3 linked regions of the Macaca fascicularis genome follow. The protein of the gene in region 3 purifies or fractionates together with the protein of the main gene of each other region. This does not show direct contact. Links are inferred from orthologs where the notes say so. Each region holds a gene or a part of one and is shown on either strand. Other genes may lie near its edges. The genes, in order: UPF1, UPF2 and CASC3.

Region 1 (6,400 bases), on a different chromosome or scaffold from region 3:
GAGGACATGGTGGTGGACGAGTGCGGCTGCCGCTAACGAGGGGCGGGCGAGGACGCGGGCCCAACAATAAACGTCGCGTGGTCTGCTCTGCTGGTCTCCTTGGACTCCTTTGCCTGGGGTTGGGGAGAGCGCCCCTCGGCCTTGGCGATCGGAAAGGCCTTTCCACTTCCAGGTCACTTACCCGAGGCCTAACCCGCCACTCCCGGGAGCCGTCCCGACAGGCCCAGGTGCTGCCCACGGGAGGGGCCCAGGGGCAGGGGTCGCCCTTCCTCAGTCCTGCAAGGCAGACCTGCCCTTTCTGGGCTTTGCCTGTTTCCCTCTGGCGTCCTTCACACCCCAACCCCTCACTCGGCCAGGGAACCCCCGCCCCCAACACCCTCCGCCCCCTGCAGTTTATCCAATCCTTGGTGTGAAGGCAAAACTGTTTAATATTTTATTGGTGACAAAAGAACTTAAATTGACCGAAAATCAAAAGTTACATTGCCTTGGTACGGTGCGCCTGGGTTTGTCAAGGCCGCTGCTACAAAGCTGGAGAACACAGCACAGGGCGAAGCAGAGGCAAAGCGGCCCAACCCAACAGCCGGGATGGGGCAGGCAGCGTCCCTTAGGCCGCCGCGGGGTCACCGCAGAAGCCTACCCGGTGCGTGGTGCATGCCTCTACGCGGCCTACCGGAAGAAGGGGAAACCGAAAGCCCTAGAGCAATGGGAATAAATAAGAGTCCCTGCCAGAAGGAAGGTGGCCTGTGCGTCCCCGTCTGTCCCATGTAGAAGCTGGAATCTGGAAGTGTTCAGCTCAGGGCAAGTGACAGCCCCAGGCCCGGGCCAGGGCAGGCTGGAGGCCTGGCCGCCAGGCGGAATGACACCCCAAGCCAGGGGTTCGAGGGGCTGAGGCAGCTCTCCTAACTAAAATGACCCTCTGCCAACGACACCACACCCCCCAGCCCCTTCACACAGAACGCAGTAATTCCTGTAACTTGTTTCCTTACCCCCCAGAAGCAGCGATCACCCCCTCAGCAAAACTGCTGGCAGGCAGAGCTCCCAATTTGGACTTTCGGTGTGCAGCGCTCCGTGTGTCTAACCAGTACAGGGACTGTCGGTGCCTCCTGGGGACAGGGACAGGCCCTCTTGTCCTTCCACCAAATCTTCCAAAGGCCCCCGGGAAAAAGCCGTTGATCCGGGAACAGCCACCTTCTCGCCCCCTGGCCACAGGGCCAGTCCTAGCCAAGGCCCCTCGCAATGGGGCCAAAAGCACCTTCCTCACAGGTGCAGGGCCCTGCGCCGAGTCCGGGCGGGAAGCGGCTTGGCTTCTGAGTCCAGTGGAGAACGAGCAGCTTCCAGGCTCGGTGGGCGGCTACCCCAGAGGCCCGATGCCCCGCAGCAAGAAGCCACCGGAAGCTAAAACCAGCAACAAAAATCCTCCTCCAGGCCGCGGCACAGGTGTTGCTCCTCTTCTCCAGTGGCGCTGGCTTGTTCAAACTGTTTCTGGAAGCTTCTCACATCTCCCAGGTCCACCGCTAAGATTTTAGAGACAAACTTAGGAAAGTATTCTTCAGTACTCCTTTAAAAGAATCTTGAAAAAACAAACAGAAAAACCCCAAACACCCTTATTTTCTTTAAATGAAGGCCCTCGGAGAACACAGGCAGCGCGACCTCGGCGCGTCTGGTAGGCGTGGACAGATGCGCCCTCCCGGGGCTCTGCCCTGCGCGCCGCCGTCTTTGCAAGGAGCCTGCTCGGGCACAGAAATGCGAAGTTTTTTCCTGCTAAGACGTAGTCCCCTTTCAATCAAAGAGAAAAAGAAATAAAAGACAGAGGAAAGGGCTACTCTGAGATGAGGGTCTTCCTCCCTCCGCCCTGGCCGCAGCCCCGGTGGGACGGAGCGGGGCCTCCTGGTGGCGGCGGCTCCCGCGGGCCGGCCCCTCCTCCGCTCCCTCTGCTCCTCGCCGCCGCGGGCCAGCAGGGGGCGCTCGGCCTCGGCTCCTCTCCCTCGTGCGCTCTCCCTTCCTGTCGCTCACACAGTGGTGCTTCAGTTTTAGCAGTGGAAAACAGGTATCCGTTTATTTTTATTTTTTATTACCCAGAATAAGATGCTGATGGACTAAGCCACGTTGCTTAGCTCTTCCGCCGCCACCTGTCAGGAGGGAGAAGGGCAGGAGGCGGTGAGAGGCGGCGCACAGAGGCCCACAGGTACCCAGCGCACGGGACAGCGAGGGAGAGCTCGAGCTGCTCTCCCCCACTCTGATGAGGAAACAGGTCCCGCGAGCAGAGGGCTACCCGCCAGGATGGGGTAGGGTGGGGTGCCTCCACATCCCTTTCCGTGAGGAGCCCTAGAATTCTTTCAAGGGGAAAGTGGGGCTGTGACTGGGCAACACATGGAGCCACCCTGACTGGTGGTGAAGGGCACAGGCCAAGCTGGCCCTGCGGGCCTGTGACCCCACTGGGGACAGCATGCATTTCCAGATACCACCCCTCCCCAGCAGCTCCCTGGAGGCTGGGATGGGGCCAGGCCTGCTCCGGGGGGCCTTGCCTTTTAGTACTGGGACAGCCCCGTCACCCCGCCATGCTGGTACGCCCTCTCTCCCTGGTACGTGGAGTCCTGCGAGAGCGCCACGTCGATTTGTGATTTAAACTCATCACCAAGGTAACTGTCCTGAAAGACAATGTCAGGAGGTAAGCAAGCCACAGGCCAAGGGTGCTCACATCCACCCAGCCCTCAGAAGCCCAGAGAGGAGAATGGAAAATCCGTCCCCAAATTAAGACCCAGGAGATCCACTCTGATGACCCTAGCCCAGGGACAGGTAATTTGGACAGTGGACATGGGCCAGGCCAGCTCTCGGGCTCTTCAGAGGGCATGTTCCAGGTGCACAGCCCCACTCTCACTCAAGCAAGTCCTGTCCCAGGGCTGCAAGAGGGCTCTGTGCGTGGGGCGGGCTCACCTGGGACAGCTCCGGCTGGGAGAGGCCGGGCTGGCTCATCTGGGAGGGCTGGCTCATGGAGATGTAGCCCTGCGTCAGGGCGCCCTGAGAGAAGGGCTGTGACGCCACATCCTGGCTGGCTTGGCTGTTGGGGAGGTTGGTCTGGCTGGGCCCAGGAAGCCCAAAGCGGTTCTTCTGGCGTCCCCCACGGCCAGTCTTGCCTTTCGGGGTGCCTCGGCCTGAAAGACAGCAGTCCAGGGTGATCCCAAGGAGGCCAGGGCCTCGCAAACAAGCACACCCTCGAGAGCTCTCAGGAGGGCCACACCCGGCCACAGCCATGGATGCTTACCTGCAGCAGGCCCGTTGGCTTGTCCAAAATAGCCAGGCGGTGGCATGGGCGGCATGACCAGGTTGAAGGGGATGGGAATGTTCATGGCAGCCACGTGGCTGGGGCCGGCACTGATCATGCCAATCTGGTCATGGGTCTGGAAGTACATGCTGGAGGGCCGGCCTGCAAATCACAGTGGAACACAGCAGGTGTCATCTGCCTCGGTCAAACCCCGGTGATGCCCCACCCACCCCACCAGCCAGTCAGTCGGAGCTGCACATCTGTCCTGGCTCTGCCCAGGCTGAAGATGCAGATTCGCCGGACTCCATGTTGACTACAGCAGCCAGCCTGGGGCTGGGTGCTAGGGCAGGCACCTTCCCCCAGAAGAGCCTGCTGGGAATCACTGGCCTACACAGATCTGAAAATCAGGGCCGGGCATGTTGGCTCAAGCCTGTAATCCCAGCACTTTGGGAAGCCGAGGTGGGTGGACCACCTGAGATCAGGAGTTTGAGACCAGCCAGGCCAACATGGCTAAAAACACAAAAATTAGCTGGGCGTGGTGGTGGGTGCTTGTAATCCCAGCTACTTGGGAGGCCAAGGCAGGAGAATCGCTTGAATCCGGGAGGCAGAGGTTGCAGTGAGCCAAGATCGCACCACTGTACTCCAGCTTGGGCGACAAAGCAAGACTGTCTCAAAAAAAACCAAACCAAACAAACAAAAAAAACCCCCCATGCAAATTGGCCACGTGCAGTGACTCTCGCCTGTAATCCCAGCACTTTGGGAGGCTGAGCGGGAGGAATGCTTGAGGCAGGAGTTTGAGACCAGCCTGGACAACATAGCGAGACCCTGTCTCTAAACATAAAAAATAAATGAAAATCACCCTGAATTTACCAAAGGAAAAAAAAATCCTTTTTATGAAAATGTTCTATTTGTACTACATGCAGTCCCTGCCCTACCAAAAGGCAAGAAAAAGCTAACTAGATTGATCACCAGGAAACACAAATAAACTCTGGCTAAAGACAAACGCCCCAGGGGTGCTGTGGGGCTAGAGATGCCCTGGGGGCGGGGAGGACAAGGGAGCCAGGCCCCGCCCTTGAGGGGAAGGAAAGGTGGGGCACCTAAAGCTTCAGCCATGGGAACAGCCAACATCCTGGTGTAAGGACAAGGGGCCGGCCGGTCTCCTGCCGAGCAACTCACCCTGGCTGCTCCGATCATAGACGGAGCCTGGGATGATGGCCTCCCTGGCATCATACATGGCTGTGGTCATGAAGCGGGCTCCCTGCGAAGGTTTAGATAGGTGAGGAATTTGTCATCTCAACAGAAGGAACAACTTCCCATGGGCCGGTGGCCTGGGAGGCAGCAGGTATGCAGCTGTGGGGTGTTGACACTGTGCCAGGGGCTCTCCCTGGAGACAGGAGAGAGCTGTGTCTCACGGCCTCTGGGTCTCGCCTGCCCTCCTTGGCAGACCTGGGCTGATGCTGACCCTTGGGCCTCAGCTCAGGAAGCTTCATATTCCCTCACCACCAGGGAACCCCGGGCTTGAAAAGCTTCCAACTCCCGGCGTCCCAGGTCCCAGGCCCCAGGCTGCTGCATGCGGCACAGCAGCCCTGAGCCCAATTCCCAGAGGCCACCCAGGACTCAGGGGCCCTGAGCCAAAAATGCCACACACGGCTTGGGAGACAGGAAGTGGGCTGGCCCATCCTCCCCTAGGAGAGCCCTCCCTCAGCTCACAGGCACATGGGCCAAGCTGGCACATTCCCAGCAGTGTTTCAGGCCCGGGTTTCTCCTTGCTGCCCTGCTGTCCTGCGCAGACGCTCACCGGGTTGATGGTGTTGACCAGCTTGCGCGGCTTGCTGAACTGCATGAGGCTCTCGCGCAGGTTGTTAAGCGGCCCTTCCACCAGCACCTTCTGCTCCTTGTAGTAGTTCAGCAGGTGGTTCCAGAGTGGCTGCTTCGACAGCGCCTTCGGGTTGCCCACGATGATGACGCCGTACCTGCAACAAGGGCACAGTGCTGAGGACGCAGGTGGAGAGCGGCCCGTCTCACAGGATGGTCCAAGAGGCAAGGCTGCATTCACTCACAACCCAAATCCAAGGCAAGAGAGGCGTGGACCAGGCGAGCCAAGGCAGCAGGCAGGCTGCCAGCCACAGGGACAGGCCCCAGAGCCCAATGCCAAGCTACTGACCCTGCACACGGGTTGATTTTGTGGCCAACTCTAAGCAGCCCCATGGCAGACACCTGGCTAGGTGGATACGTTTGAAGACAAGACCTGCTGTCAAGAGAGTCAGCCTTCCAGGCACCAGGGCACAGGTGGCCCCACAGGGTCCCTGGCAGGCTGGGGCACTGACCCGATGCCCAGCTCCTCTAGCCCACCTCACGCAGCTGTGGGGGGACCCACCCAATACCACCCACCAAACAAGAGCGCGCCTTAGAAAGAGGAAGTAACCAATGACAAAGCCATGGTGACCTACAGGAGGACTACTGCGTATGTGAGCTGGAAGGAGCGCCAGGTTCTCTCCCTATGCTGGGTGGAGCCACGGGCCAGGCCCCCCGGACTTCCAGCTGGTGAATGAGTCCTTGCTGTCTAGTTTTTTTTTTTTCTTTCTTACTTTCTTTGGAGTCTGAGTTTTGCTCTTGTTGCCCAGGCTGGCGTACAATGGCACGATCTCGGCTCACCACAATCTCCGCCTCCCAGGTATAAGCGATTCTCCTGTTTCAGCCTCCCAAGTAGCTCAGATTACAGGCATGCACCACCACGCCTGGCTAATTTTTTTGTATTTAGTACAGACAGGTTTCACCATGGTTAGGCTGGTTGAGAACTCCTGACCTCAGGTGATCCACCCGACTCGGCCTCCCAAAATGCTGGGATTGCAGGCATGAGACACTGCACCCGGCCTGATGTCTAGTTGTATGTGGGATGACAGAATGGATCCCTTCTGCTATCATCAATTCACAAAAGTTGTATTTTAGAACCAAAAGTAGTGGACAGAACCAAAATTTACAGGCTCTCAGATTAAACAACTTGACAGACACACACCAGATTTATCTGAATCAGACCAGAAGGGCCTGGAAAGATACGTCCTGCTGGGCTGAGGCACAGGGGCCACAGCAAACCCCCAGGACACGGAAACAAAGATCTCTCCAGTGAGACATTGTTTC
Region 2 (7,046 bases), on a different chromosome or scaffold from region 3:
CCGGGAGGCGGAGCTTGCAGTGAGCTGAGATTCGGCCACTGCACTCCAGCCCGGGCGACAGAGTGAGACTCTGTCTCAAAAAAAAAAAAAAAAAAAAAAGAAAAGAAAATATCACGCCCTTAAACCAAGCAAACTTTCAAAGAGACTATAATACTAATACTTACTACTCATGGTACCATACTAAACATTTTACATACATTATCTCATTTAATACTAAAATCTTTATGAGGTAGGTATTATTTTCGCTATTTTATAAATGAGTAAACTGAGACTTGACCAAGTAACTTGACCAAGGCCTGCACAGCTGGTGACAGAATGGGAATCTGAACCCATTCTCTGAACCAAAGAATCCTAAGAGTACCAAATTGCGAGATGGAAGATTTGTTTGTAAATACTGACTATGGCAAACCATAGAATTATGAATCTCAAGAGTAGAAAGAATCCTTCATAGTGGTTAAGCAGTTCTTACACAATGTTTTTAACTTTTAGCAGACTCTGGCTGAAACATACGGGGACAACTTAATATCTAAGGTAATAACATGATCTTATTGAGGGATATTAATCATTAAGTGAAAAAAAGTTTATATAGATTTCACATTTTCTGATGTGATACATCAACAAGTAACATTTCAGGACCATAGGAAACTACAAAGAATGACATCAGAACTTACAATTCATGTCTCTCTTTTTTTTTTTTTTTTTGAGATGGAGTCTCACTCTGTTGCCAGGCTGGAGTGTAGTGGCGCGATCTCGGCTCACCGCAACATCTGCCACCCAGGTTCAAGCCATTCTCCTGCCTCAGCCTCCCGAGTAGCTGGGATTACAGGTGCGCATCACCATGCCCGGCTAATTTTGTATTTTTAGTAGAGAAGGGGTTTCTCCATGTTGGTCAGGCTGGTCTCATAAACTCCTGACCTCAGGTGATCCACCCACCTTGGCGTCCCAAAGTTCTGGGATTATAAGCATGAGTCACCATGGCTGGCCTCATGTCTCATTTCTAAAGATAAAATCTTAAATTCTTCAAAGAAAAGATTAAGAAATTCATCTAGTATTTGACAAATTCACAAAGGTCATCATTTATTAGTTCAACAAAGTCCCAAACTTTTATGACTCTTTAATAAGATTCATTTGTTAATTAAATTTTAAGTATTTACTATATAAAATAAAGCTACAGTAGGCGTTCAAGAATTAGACTCGGGGCCAGGCATAGTGGCTCATGCCTGTAATCCCAGCACTTTGGGAGGCTGAGGCAGGCAGATCACGAGGTCAAGAGATGGAGACCATCTTGGCCAACAACATGGTGAGAGCCCGTCTCTACTAAAAATACCAAAATTAACTGGGTGTGGTGGCACACGCCTGTAGTCCCAGCGACTCAGGAGGCTGAGGCAGGAGAATCACTTGAACCCAGGAGGTGGAGGTTGCAGTGAGCCGAGATGGCACCACTGCACTCCAGCCTGGCGACAGAGCGAGACTCTGTCTCAAGAAAAAAAAAAATAGGAATAGACTCTACCCTAGAGCATAATAAAACAGATTCTCCATAACCCATAAGTCCTGATACTGGTATCTTCTTTCAATCACTTCATCCTCACATTACAAGCATACACCCAAAGTATACTTGGAACTAAATTTCCGTAAACAAAAAAATAAGACAAAAATCTAAAAGTTCACGAAGAGGCAGCAATGCAACTTGTGAAAACAACATACATGGGCTTGGAAGTCGATAGATTTTAAATCTGCCTCCCAACTCTGCAGCCTGATAGCTACAGAAATCAGGCAACAACTTCTCTGAGTCCACGTATTTATCAATAAGAAGGATATACTGCTATCTATCTTGTAAAGTTCTTAAAATTCTAGCATAGTAACTAGCACGAGGGAGGCATTAATAAATGTTCGCTCACAAAGAACACTGAGAAGTTCAGCATACAATGAGAGATTTGTAAAGTCAAATAAAGACTATTAGATTTTATCTACTTCTATCCTCAATTTTTACATTCCAAGGACAGCAGCAGAGTCACCTACCCAAGATTACACAGATAGTTTCCATGGCTGGATCAACACTCACTACCCAGTACTCTTTTTCACTACCTACACTAAAACGAATAAAATATACAAACACCATGATTCACCTCAAAACACGTTTGTTTTATGTCCACTTAAGAAACTGAGCACTGGCCGGGCGCGGTGGCTCAAGCCTGTAATCCCAGCACTTTGGGAGGCCGAGACGGGCGGATCACAAGGTCAGGAGATCGAGACCATCCTGGTTAACACGGTGAAACCCCGTCTCTACTAAAAAATACAAAAAACTAGCGGGGTGAGGTGGCAGGCGCCTGTAGTCCCAGCTACTCGGGAGGCTGAGCCAGGAGAATGGCGTAAAGCCGGGAGGCGGAGCTTGCAGTGAGCTGAGATCTGGCCACTGCACTCCAGCCTGGGCAACAGAGCTAGACTCCGTCTCAAAAAAAAAAAAAAAAGAAAAGAAACTGAGCACTAAGTGATATTTAATAAAATACTAAAATTCTTATTTCAATAACTTCAAGCTTTAACAGCCAAACTTGTCATCTAAAGTGTTTCCAAAAGTTTTTCTAGTCCAAACTACAATTTTAAAAAGGTCCTTTCTCAAGATAGTAACAAGAAAAAATCGTGATCTTTTCGCTGGAATCCGATTAGCTGTTACAAATTAGTTTGCTGAATACAATTTATATTCAGACTACCCTTAAAAGGAAACCATGCTTTAAAACCACCTTCCTAGCTCCCAAAATAGTGTCCTGTCACTTGAACTGTATATTTTATTTGGTATTCTAAATATATTCTGAACTCCCAAAAGAAAGTAAAACTAATTTACTAGTAAAAGTACCAGTGGAGTGTACTGGGGGGAAGAGGGCACAAAAGGGGGTGTTTCCTTTTTAAAGATATTCCCTTGCAAAGTACCATATGGGTTATGTATGAAATCCCAATCAGAGTGCTCCGAAAATACTCCAGAGTGAGAGAATGCTGTTTCACCTTTCAATTCTTAGTCAAAATGTTGTAAGGACAGAACAGCACAGGAACACTCTCTCTCAGTTTCTGACTTTATTTTTTAAAGAACATCCTTAGTATAAAGGACGTTTAGTTAAGAATTGTTAGAAATTGTCCCAGCTCACAAATGAGGAGACTGACGATGTTAAGGAACACCTAAGAACTATGGAAATGAGATAAAGCGTCAGCGAGCGTTTCACTTTGATCTGATGCATCACTTCGTGTCGTGTAAGTCCTCCAAGAAGAGCAAGGCAACTGAAGGTCCGATCACCCCAGAGTGGACCCAGCTGGCTCTGCTCTGCCAACCTGGGGACCAAATATCCTGTGGTCACTTCCTTAGTCCAACAGTCCTAGCAAGAAGAGAGTGCCTGGAGTCTTGAAGGGGTGAAGGCAAAGTGAAGAATAACCAGCCTATGTGATTAAAAGGAAGTCAACCAAACAGCCCATGCCCACCATCCCCAGATACACCCCAAGCCCCTTCGCCTACACACACCTCTCCTACAAACCCCTGCTCTGGTGGTGTGGCAACGTCTACACCCACCACACCACTTCCCCGCCACAACTCCCCTTCCCACAGGTATCCACGGTCACCTTCGCAGACCATCGCTGCCCCAACCCCAACTTCTCGCCCCACACTCCCTCGCCACAGAAGCCTCCCCGGCCGGTCTCCCCACTCCGCAGCCTCCCACACACGCGCCCTCCCCACTTCCTCGCCCTCGCTTCCCTCCCGGCTCTCGAGGAGCTTCCCCCGACCTCCCCTCGCTCTCCTCCACGCCCCCGAACACCTTCGCCCCTCCACCGCGGGCTCCCCGCCTCCAGCCCCGAGGCCCGGCCCAGGCATGTGGGGCAGGCACCTCCTCCACCGCCCCCCATGCCCGGCCCGGCCCGGGGGCTCCCGCGTTGATGGGAGCCTCGGAGAGAGGGGGTCTGAGAAGAACGACGCCGGACCCGCGGTCCCTCCACTGCTCGCCGACCCCGGAGAGCTAGAGTGCGGAGTCGCCTCTGGGGTCCCCCAGGGAGTAGGACTCTAGGCCGGTGCCCCCCAGCCCCGTTTCTTCCCGATCGTTGGAGCGGAGGGGAAGGAGGATCCCCGGGACTCACCTCGAGCCTGTTGTCAACATTAGCCCCGGGTTTCCCAGCACCAACTCCAGCGCTCGGGCTCTCCCCTCCCCTCCCCCCACCTATCTCGCAGCCGAGGGCCCGCCTTCCCTTAGCTCCCCCTCCTCCCTCCGCCCGCCGGCCCTCCCGCCCGCCACTCACCAGCGCGGCCGGGCTGAGAGTGGGGGCGGGGCGGAAGGAGGCGAGAGGGAAAAGGCCGTCCGCGCGACTGCCCGATTAAAAACAGTCCTGATCGCCCTCCCCGCGGCATGCCGATGCCCTCAGCTTGACTCTGGGGTGGCGGGTCCGAGGCAAAGGCTCATATAAGTGCCACCCACTTAATGGCTCTTCCAAATTCCCCAGTCGATGAGAAGAGCGAATTTTTCAGACAGGTAATGCGTAAGGTAGCCACTACCAGCACCTCAAGCCAGGGCCCCAGCGGAGAGGTGGAGTGTTCCGAGGACCCGAGGCAGGAAGTGGATTGGTCGCCAGGAAAGGGAAAGCGCCTGAATTGGAGCTGCGCAGGCGCAAGCACTTCGCGGGGGATGGGGGTGGGAAGCGCGAATGGGGCGGGGCGGAGCTCACGGGAGGCGAGGAAGGGTGGTGGAATAGTGGGAGGGTTACGGAGCGCCATTAAGGACAAGCCTGGGCACGTGATTCTCCTGGGAGTTTCCTGGTGCGAACGTAAGGAAGAGGTCTAAGAAGAGAAAGTTTGATTGGACTAATTCGAGGGGAGACGTTGAAGATTTAGAAAATTGGAAACTGGAGAAACTAAAGCATATGGCTGGTTTGGGAGGTGGGAGTCGCTTAGGAATGGGTCTAGTTTTAAGAATGCCCTAGAAGACATCAAAAGTCCCGCGGGGGGATTTCTGTAGCAGTTGTAGGTGTTCGACGTAAAAACCACCCAGGGCGAAGACGAATCAAGGCTTTTTCCATACACTTCTTAGAAAACACCCAGTTCTAACAAGCAAATTTTTATTACAGTGGAAAGACCTCCCTGAGTTATCAAATCACCCATTTATAAAAAAAATGGCTAGCGTCGACATTTCTTCTGAATGCGAACCCAGGCCGACTTTTAAAAATGGGGTATCAGTTTATCCACACTGCTTATTTCCCACTGAATTTCTGAAATGGTGCATCTGGCCTCGAAACAGTGCTGGGTTCTGCGAACATGATCCGAGTAGGTGGCTCTGGCTGGTCCGGAGCTAGAGGAACAAGGGTGCGAAACTGGTCTTGACGTTTGCTTGGCCTGCGGGGGCCCCACCTGGTGTCTAGGCACACATAATGAGCTACTACCAACCACAAATACTTGAGGCAAGTCCAGGTTCCCTATGACTCAACCTTTGCCCGTTTGTCTCTATTTACTGTTTGCTTCCCCATTTACTCTTAGCACGCAAATTATCCTCTCATACTGAGTGTTGCTGCTTCCTGTATTTTAAAAAAATACACACTACACATAGGTCAATCATTTAAAGGGTAGTAAAAGAGAAAGGTGAATACAGCTATTCTGCAGCCTTGATAAACAATGATGAGAACTGCCCCCAAATACCATGTTGGTGATAGCCACCCACACTTCTCTTCAAGGTCTCTTTTTCTCATTTTGTCGGATTACCTTAAGAAGCTTTACCTCTGGCCAGACATGGTGCCTCATGCCCGTATTCTCAGCACTTTGGGAGGCCGAGGCTGGTGGATCACCTGAGGTCAGGAGTTCCAGACCAGCCTGGCCCCAACATGGTGAAACCCCGTCTCTACTAAAAATAGAAAATTAGCCTGACGTGGTGGCGAGCGCCTGTAATCCCAGCTACTCGGGAAGCTGAGGCAGGAGAATCCATTAGAACCCGGGAAGCAGAAGTTGCAGTGAGCCCAGATAGCGCCACTGCACTCCGGCCTGGGCAACAGAGCAAGCGAGACTCTGTCTCAAAAAAAAAAAAAAAAAAAGAAAAAAGCTTTACCTCTTTGTTAATAAATATAATAAATCCTTCTCAATAAATATACTAAATCCTTCTCATCGTAAATCAAGTCAACCTTTGCCTTTAATCAGGTGTTAAAAGGAAATCACCTAAAATCACCTAAAAGAGGAGGGCCTTTTTGTTGAGCATTTGCTATTTTACATTTGTGATTTTAATTGCAGTCACCATTTTATAAAAGTTGAGTCAGATTAATTTACTGTCACAAAATTAGTAAGTTTCATACTTACTAATTTTAATTAAATACTACCTAGTATTCTACTCAAATCTAACTCCAAAAACCCAAGTTCTTTCTGCTGTGGCTCTACGCAAACTTTTACGTAAACTGAAAATGCTGCCAATCATTTTACATCCAAAGACAGATGTCAAGCCAGCCACCAAAAGCCTGATGTGAGAATATCATTGTAATGTCTTAACTAGAAAAAAACACCCCACTGTGAAGAGGCCATCATTTTTTATTCTGATAATTCAAACTTTATGATTTTCTGAAAATACATTCTCAAGATGAATTTTTGAGAAAAGTCTCAAAAATGTTCATTGTTCTTTTTGTCTGCTGCAATTGACAGAACTGTTCTATATGGGGAAAAAAGAGAATGAAGCTATTTAGTTTTTATTTAGACCTACACGATGCTACTCGCTACTTAAAACCTAGCTGGTGGCAGCTTCACAGACAAAAGCAAAGGCCAGACAAAGAGATTACAATTACAGAGAAGGACAAATCCTGACTTTAAGGAAAAGAAAAAGGCATCATATGAGGCCAACCAGCTCTAACTACATCCTCTGCCCCCTGACCTCAGAGAACTGGGAGTGTGCTGTTCCATGAGGAAATCCAGCTTTGATCTTTTAGAAGCCAATGTTTAACCTAGTTTAAGCTGCTTTTTTAAAAATACCTACCTCTTGGTTTATCTCTGCTAGAAATTTTTTCAGCGTTTCCTCTTTCTGCTTAACAGTTTCCAAAAGTAAATGTGT
Region 3 (6,988 bases):
GGACTGTTTGAAGCCAGCAATTGGGGGCTGTAGTGAGCTGTGATCCCACAACTGCACTCCAGCCTGGGTGACTGGGCAACAGAGTGATACCCTGCCTCTTCTTAAAAAAAAAAAAAAAAAAAAAAAGAGGGCTGGGCACAGTGGCTCACACCTATAATCCTGGTACTTTGGGAAGATGATGCGGGCAGATCACCTGAGGTCGAGTTCATGACCAGCCTGGCCAACATGGTGAAACCCCGTCTCTACTACAAATACAAAAGTTAGCCGGGTGTGGTGGCGTGCACCTGTAATCCCAGCTACTCAGGAGGCTGAGCCAGGAAAATTGCTTGAACCTGTGAGGCGGAGGTTGCAGTGAGCCAAGATCACGCCACTGCACTCCTGTCTGGGTTACAGAGCAAGACTCCATCTCAAACAAAAAAAGAAAAGAAAGTTTTTAATTTTTGTGAATACATAGAAGGTATATATATTTATGCAGTACATGAGATTTTTTTTTTTGAGACAGAGTTTCGCTCTTGTTGCCCAGGCTGGAGCACAATGGCACGATCTTAGCTCACTGCAACCTCCACCTCTTGGGTTCAAGTAATTCTCCTGCCTCAGTCTCCTGGGTCACTGGGATTACAGGCGCCAGCTACCACGCCTAGCTAATTTTTCTTTTTTTTGTTGTTTTTTTTTTTTTTTGAGACGGAGTCTCACTCTGTGCCCCAGGCTGGAGTGCAGCGGCGCGACCTCGGCTCACTGCAAGCTCCGCCCCCCGGGTTCACGCCATTCTCCTGCCTCAGCCTCCCAAGTAGCTGGGACTACAGGCGCCCGCCACCACGCCCGACTAGTTTTTTGTATTTTTTTAGTAGAGACGGGGTTTCACGGTGTTAGCCAGGATGGTCTCGATCTCCTGACCTTGTGATCCGCCTGCCTCGGCCTCCCAAAGTGCTGGGATTACAGGCTTGAGCCACCGCAACCGGCGCTAATTTTTCTTTTCAGTAGAGACAGGGTTTTGCCACGTTGGCCAGGCTGGTCTTGAACTCCTGACCGCAGCTGATCCACCCGACTCGGCCTCCCAAAGTGCTGGGATTACAGGTGTGAGCCACTGCGCCCGGCCCATGAGATATTTTTATATAGCTATACAATGTGTAATAATCATGTTAAGGGTAAATGGGGTACGGATCACTTCAAGCACTTATCCTTTGTTACAAACAATTCAATTACATTCTTTTATTGACACTTATTTTTTTTTTTGAGATGGAGTCTTGCCCTGTCACCAGCCTGGAGCACAGTGGCGTGATCTCGGCTCACTGCAACCTCTGCCTCCCAGATTCAAGCAATTCTCCTGCCTCAGCCTCCTGAGTAGCTGGGACCATAGGCGCGCGCCACCACACCCCGGCTAATTTTTGTATTTTTGGTAGAGACAGGATTTCACCATGTTGGCCAGGGTGGTCTCGATCTCTTGACTTCGTGATCCACCCACCTTGGCCTCCCAAAGTGCTGGGATTACAGGCTTGAGCCACCACGCCCAGCCAATAGTTATTTTTAAATATACAATAAGTTACTGTTGACTGTAGTCACCATGTTGCAAATATGAAATTCTAGATCTTAGTCATTCTTATTTTTTAAATTTTTTTGAGACAGAGTCTTGCTCTGTTGCCCGGGCTGGATTACAGTGGTGTTGATTATGGCTCCCTGCCACCTCCACTTCCCAGGCTCAAGGGATTCTCCTGCCTCAGCCACTTGAGTAGTTGGAATTACGGGCATGCGTGACCACGACCTGCTAATTTTTGTATTTTTAGTAGAGATGGAGTTTTGCCAAGTTGGCCAGGCTGGTCTTGACCTCCTGGCCTCAAGTGACTGGCCCACCTTGGCCTCCCACAGTGCTGGGATTACAGGTGTGAGCCATTGCGCTGGGTTTAGATCTTATTCATCCTAAGTATTATTACTTTTTTGTACCCCTATGGGTTTTTTTTTTTTTTCCAGACGGAGTCTCGCTCTGTCACCCAGGCTGGAGTGCAGTGGTGCGATCTCAGCTCACTGCAAGCTCCGCCTTCCGGGTTCACACCATTCTCTTGCCTCAGCCTCCAGAGTAGGTGGGACTACAAGGCGCCCGCCACCATGCTTGGCTAATTTTTTGTATTTTTAGTAGAGACAGGGTTTCACCGTGTTAGCCAGGATGGTCTCCACCTCCTCACCTTGTGATACGCCCGTCTCGGCCTCCCAAAGTGCTGGGATCACAGGCGTGAGCCACAGTGCCTGGCCTCTTTTTTTTTTTATGTATTTACTTTTTAAGACAGTCTCACTCCGTCACCCACATAGGAGTGCAGTGGCATGATTTCAGCTCACTGCCACCTCCATCTCCTGGGATCAAACAATTTTCGTGTCTCAGCCTCCCAAGTAGCTGGAATTACAGGCATACATCACCATACCCAGCTAATTTTTGTTATTTTTTAGTAGAGATGGGTTTTCACCATGTTGGCCAGGCTGGTCTCAAACTCCTGGTCTCAAGTGATCCGCCTGCCTCAGTCTTCCAAAGTGCTGGGATTACAGGCATGAGCCACTGCTCCCAGCCCCTATGGGCTTTCTTGACTGTTGTTCCCTCTGCCTAGAACACATTCTACCCAGTCAACTCTTAATCTTTCCTGACTGACTAGGATGGATTCAGTGCCCAGCTATAACACCCTACTTAGCCCTATCCCAGCGCTATCCTCTATCAGCAAGTGGTACAATTGCTTGAATGTTTGTCTGACTTCCTTATTAAGTTGTAAGATCTCTAAAGATAGGAATTTTGTTATAGTGTTCACTGTTCCATCTTCAAGGGCTTAACAGATTCTAAAATGTAGTAACGGTTCTAAAAATTTATAGACAAAATCTTTGATCCACTATCCAATTCCCCCTGTATATAATCCCATTAGCAGAACTCAGGACTCCACTCAACAACCCAGAAAACAAACATTTATTCTGATGGCATCTCTAGTAGTTTATCCAAAAGACAGGAAACTCTCCTAGAAACAGAGAAATCCCCACCTATAAAATGATGGATGCTCTTGGCACAAAACATTCAGAATCCTACCCTTTCAAAGTCTTCAGATAGATTTGGAAAAAAAAATCCACGAAAAAAATATCCAACTGGCTGGCTTCTTAACCTCCACTGCATAAAACAAACTGTCAAACATCTTTCAGAGGACTTCAAGATGTACTCATTCTCTTATTTAGAATCTCATATTCTTCAGACAGGAAGAGAAGTCAACTAAAAGTATAACACCTGTGGCTTGAGACGGCATGCCCCAAGTTTTCCCTAGGTCTAAAGAGAACAAGACATTCTGTAACACTTTCTCAGAAGCATAAATGAAGAATACACAAGAGGATAAACACGGAGGTCATGGTACGTTTGCAACGAAGGTGTGTACACTTTCTAAAAGCATTTCTGATCTGTACCATAGGAAAAAACCTGTCATACTCACTTCTGAGTCTTCTGCACTTTCATAATCCGAGAGAACAGCTGAAATAAAACAGAAATATGTGGAAAAACAGAAACCCAGAAACATTTTTTGGCTGCTTATTATAGGTCAGACTAAGAGTCTCATTTAATTCTGACATCAACCTACAACGTGGATAAAATTATAGTCTCCACTTACAGAAGGAAAAACAGACTCAGAGTAACTTGCACAAGACTACACTGCTAAAACCTATGCTCTTAAGCACTATACTACAAAAAGCCACTCTGTGGCCCTAAATCCGTGTGTGAGAATGTCGACAGTTGGAAATAGATTTTCTGAGTTTATGTTAAAAAAAACTCTTGTCCTAATGGGGTAAAAGATGCTACTCACCATCACCTTCAATGCCATCTTCACTCTCCTGAAGGAAAGTAGAAGACATGGGTTAGTTCTGTGATTTCCAGAGGTGGAGAGCCCAATAAAGAAATGTGGGTGAAGAGCTGAAGAATGAGCACAAAATGGTCGGAGAGAGAGACAAGTAGTAGCCAAGGCAGGCCTGGTCTTTAGTAGCCAAGGCAGATCTGGTCTCCTTCCCTCCAGACCCGATTTCTGAATAAACATCCGCTTTCCATCCCCAGCGGCTCTGCCATCCTCCCAGAAACCCCCAATCCTTCTTCCCTTAGAACTCCGGATGCAAACTCGCACTGGGATAACTCCCCTTTTCTCGTAAAAACAACAAAAAAAGTCCCAGTATCTACTATCAACTCCCAGACACCTAGCATCACCTACACCCCGCCCCCGGCCGGCCGGCTCGCCGCCCGGTCCCCACCCCACCCCGCCCCGCCTCGCCTGCGCGCACTCACACACTCCGACTCCTCAGCGCTCTTGGCGCCCCCGCTCTCCACCCGCCGCAAATGAAGGGCCCCGATTCGGCCTCCGCGCTGTGAAGGCAGAGAGCCGCTGCCGCCGCCTCCAGCGCTACCGCTGCAGCTCCCGCCGCCCCGCAACGGGGAGCCGCCGCTGTCTGAGCCCGAAGCACCAGATTCCTCGTCCTCGGTGTCTTGCGAAGCGCGCTGCCGCCGCCGGTCCGCCATTTTACGGAGAACGGCCACCGCCGGCGAGCTACTTACGCACCGCGCCCGTCCCAGAGGCTGCTGGGAGGCTCGCTAGCTAGTCCCGGCGTGCTGCGCGTGCGGCGCTCAGCCATCCCGCTTGGGGTGGGCGGGACACGGGGCGGGGCCTTGGCCTGCGGCAGGTTTGCGGCGGAACCGGATTACGTCTATCGGTGATGTAAGGGGGCGTGGCGCGGCTTCTGACTTCTCTTAGGCAGGCCTAGGGCGAGGGGAATTGAGAATTCAGCTGCTTCCCGGGTTCCTGGCCCGGCCATCTTGGGCTTCCCGAGTGGAAGGCATCGACCTGTCACAGCTTTACTGCAACACTGGGGTTGTTTCATGGTTTTCTGTTTCCGTTTCTCAGTTCTACCTACGTTTGAAGCAGGTCAATTTACTGCATTCCTTTGCTTGGTAATATCACGAATCAAGGTAAATCTTAAAAGCCGTAGTGCTGCGTCAGATTTGCTACACCAGCCCGGTTTTTAAGATAACGAGCGAAGGAGAAACCAATTGTCTGCAGTGAAGCCAGAGGACTTCTTGTTGCAGCGTTTTCTCTGTGTTCTCATTTCCTCTTCACGTTTCTTCCCACCCCAGCCATCACCTGTCCCAAAGTGCAGGCTGGTATGATGCCAGTGTTATCGGTTTGATTTGGTTTGGTTTTGAGGCAGGGTCTCTTGCGCAGGCTGGAGTGCAGTGGCACGATCACGGCTCACTGCAGCTTGACCTCCCGGGCACAGGTGACCTCCCTGCCTCAGCCTCCTTCGTAGCTGGGACAACCGTCACACACTACCACACCCGGCTAATTTTTCTATTTTTTGTAGAGATGGGGGTCTCGCTATTGCTCAGGCTTGTCTCCTGGCTGGGCTCAAGCGATCCTCTCGTCTCAGCCTCCCAAAGTGCTGGGATTACAGGCATGAGCTACTGCCCTTGTGAGGATTTTAAAACCTATTTAAAAATAAATGGTCAGTAGAAACGGATGTTGATTCAAAATCCTGACATTATTTCCTTCTTAAGGTTCATGGAAATTCTTTGATTTTGGCAAGGCGTTTGTCACCAATGAAAAGAATCAATGTATTTTCTTTGTACCATTATAAGGATATACAAAGTGCATGAGCTAAGTTTTTAGTGTACCTACAGGAGTGCACGCTAATAATGTATGTATCAAACAAAGGCCACTATGGCATAGGATTCTTTCCTGAGTAAAAAAAAAAAAAAGTTTTTTTTTTTTGAGACGGAGTCTCTGTCGCCCAGGCTGGAGTGCAGTGGCGCCATCTCGCCTCACTGCAAGCTCCGCCTCCCGGGTTCACGCCATTCTGCCTCAGCCTCCCGAGTAGCTGGGACTACAGGCGCCCGCCACCACGCCCGGCTAATTTTTTGTATTTTTAGTAGAGACGGGGTTTCACCGTGTTAGCCAGGATGGTGTCAATCTCCTGACCTCATGATCCGCCCGCCTCAGCCTCCCAAAGTGCTGGGATTACAGGAGTGAGCCAACACGTGCAGCCTTTCCTGAGTAGAATTTTTATAAATAACATGGTTAAGGATCCTGATGTTTATCAAATTTATAGACAACATGAAACTGGAAGTAATTATGAATGCCTTCAGAGATTAAATGAAAATTCAAGGCCGGTTACGGTGGCTCATACCTGTAATCCCAGCACTTCGGGAGGCCAAGGCGGGCGGATCACGAGGTCAGGAGATCGAGACCATCCTGGCTAACACGGTGAAACCCCGTCTCTACTAAAAAATACAAAAAGCTAGCCGGGCAAGGTGGCGGGCGCCTGTAGTCCCAGGTACTTGGGAGGCTGAGGCAGAGTGGCGTGAACCCGTGAGGCGGAGCTTGCAGTGAGCCGAGGTGGAGCCACTGCACTCCAGCCTGGGTAACAGCGAGACTCCGTCTCAGAAAAAAAATTCAAACAATCTCAGCTAATTAGACAAGTGGCCAAACGTGACGACTTGTAAGTCCAGCTCCAAAAGCCAACTGCCTGAGTTCAAAATGGAGGATATATGATTTAATAAGTGTTAAAGTAAAAGACCTGGAGGATCTTATCGATCATAAGCTAAACTGGTGCAAATAAGGCTGCCAAGTTTAGTGTCTAAATAAGGAAAGTGATAGTCTGCCACTTTGTCCTTCAGTTGTTTGGTCTGGGTCCAATTTAATTTTTTTTTTTTTTTTTTTTTTGAGACAGTCTTGCTCTGTCGCCCAAGCTGGAGTGCAGTGACCAGATCTCAGCTCACTGCAAGCTCTGCCTCCCGGGTTTACGCCATTCTCCTGCCTCAGCCTCCCGAGTCGCTGGGACTACAGGCACCCGCCACTTCGCCCGGCTAGGTTTTTGTATTTTTTAGTAGAGACGGGGTTTCACCGTGTTAGCCAGGATGATCTCGATCTCCTGACCTCGTGATCCGCTCGTCTTGGCCTCCCAAAGTGCTGGGATTAGAGGCTTGAGCCACCACGCCCGG

The links.
Region 1: the proteins of CASC3 (region 3) and UPF1 purify together in Homo sapiens (co-immunoprecipitation; 5 studies listed by BioGRID and IntAct, with this or other methods). This does not show direct contact. The link is inferred for Macaca fascicularis from reciprocal best matches to the Homo sapiens genes CASC3 and UPF1.
Region 2: the proteins of CASC3 (region 3) and UPF2 fractionate together in Homo sapiens (co-fractionation; 3 studies listed by BioGRID and IntAct). This does not show direct contact. The link is inferred for Macaca fascicularis from reciprocal best matches to the Homo sapiens genes CASC3 and UPF2.

Annotation. Positions count from the first base shown.
Region 1 is NC_088393.1:19,267,849-19,274,248, reverse strand, and holds the end of UPF1 (regulator of nonsense transcripts 1), read right to left. Parts: intron 5,236-6,400; coding exon 5,061-5,235; intron 4,521-5,060; coding exon 4,439-4,520; intron 3,425-4,438; coding exon 3,263-3,424; intron 3,153-3,262; coding exon 2,935-3,152; intron 2,649-2,934; coding exon 2,529-2,648; 3' UTR 2,526-2,528; intron 2,130-2,525; 3' UTR 411-2,129; downstream 1-410. Other genes in the region: GDF1 (embryonic growth/differentiation factor 1), read left to right, coding at 1-36. UniProt on the Homo sapiens protein: RNA-dependent helicase required for nonsense-mediated decay (NMD) of aberrant mRNAs containing premature stop codons and modulates the expression level of normal mRNAs.
Region 2 is NC_088383.1:12,952,143-12,959,188, forward strand, and holds the start of UPF2 (regulator of nonsense transcripts 2), read right to left. Parts: upstream 4,619-7,046; 5' UTR 4,273-4,618; intron 4,201-4,272; exon of another isoform or gene 4,114-4,200; intron 1-4,113. UniProt on the Homo sapiens protein: Involved in nonsense-mediated decay (NMD) of mRNAs containing premature stop codons by associating with the nuclear exon junction complex (EJC).
Region 3 is NC_088390.1:61,216,487-61,223,474, reverse strand, and holds the start of CASC3 (protein CASC3), read right to left. Parts: upstream 4,539-6,988; 5' UTR 4,514-4,538; coding exon 4,283-4,513; intron 3,841-4,282; coding exon 3,813-3,840; intron 3,485-3,812; coding exon 3,447-3,484; intron 1-3,446. UniProt on the Homo sapiens protein: Required for pre-mRNA splicing as component of the spliceosome. Core component of the splicing-dependent multiprotein exon junction complex (EJC) deposited at splice junctions on mRNAs.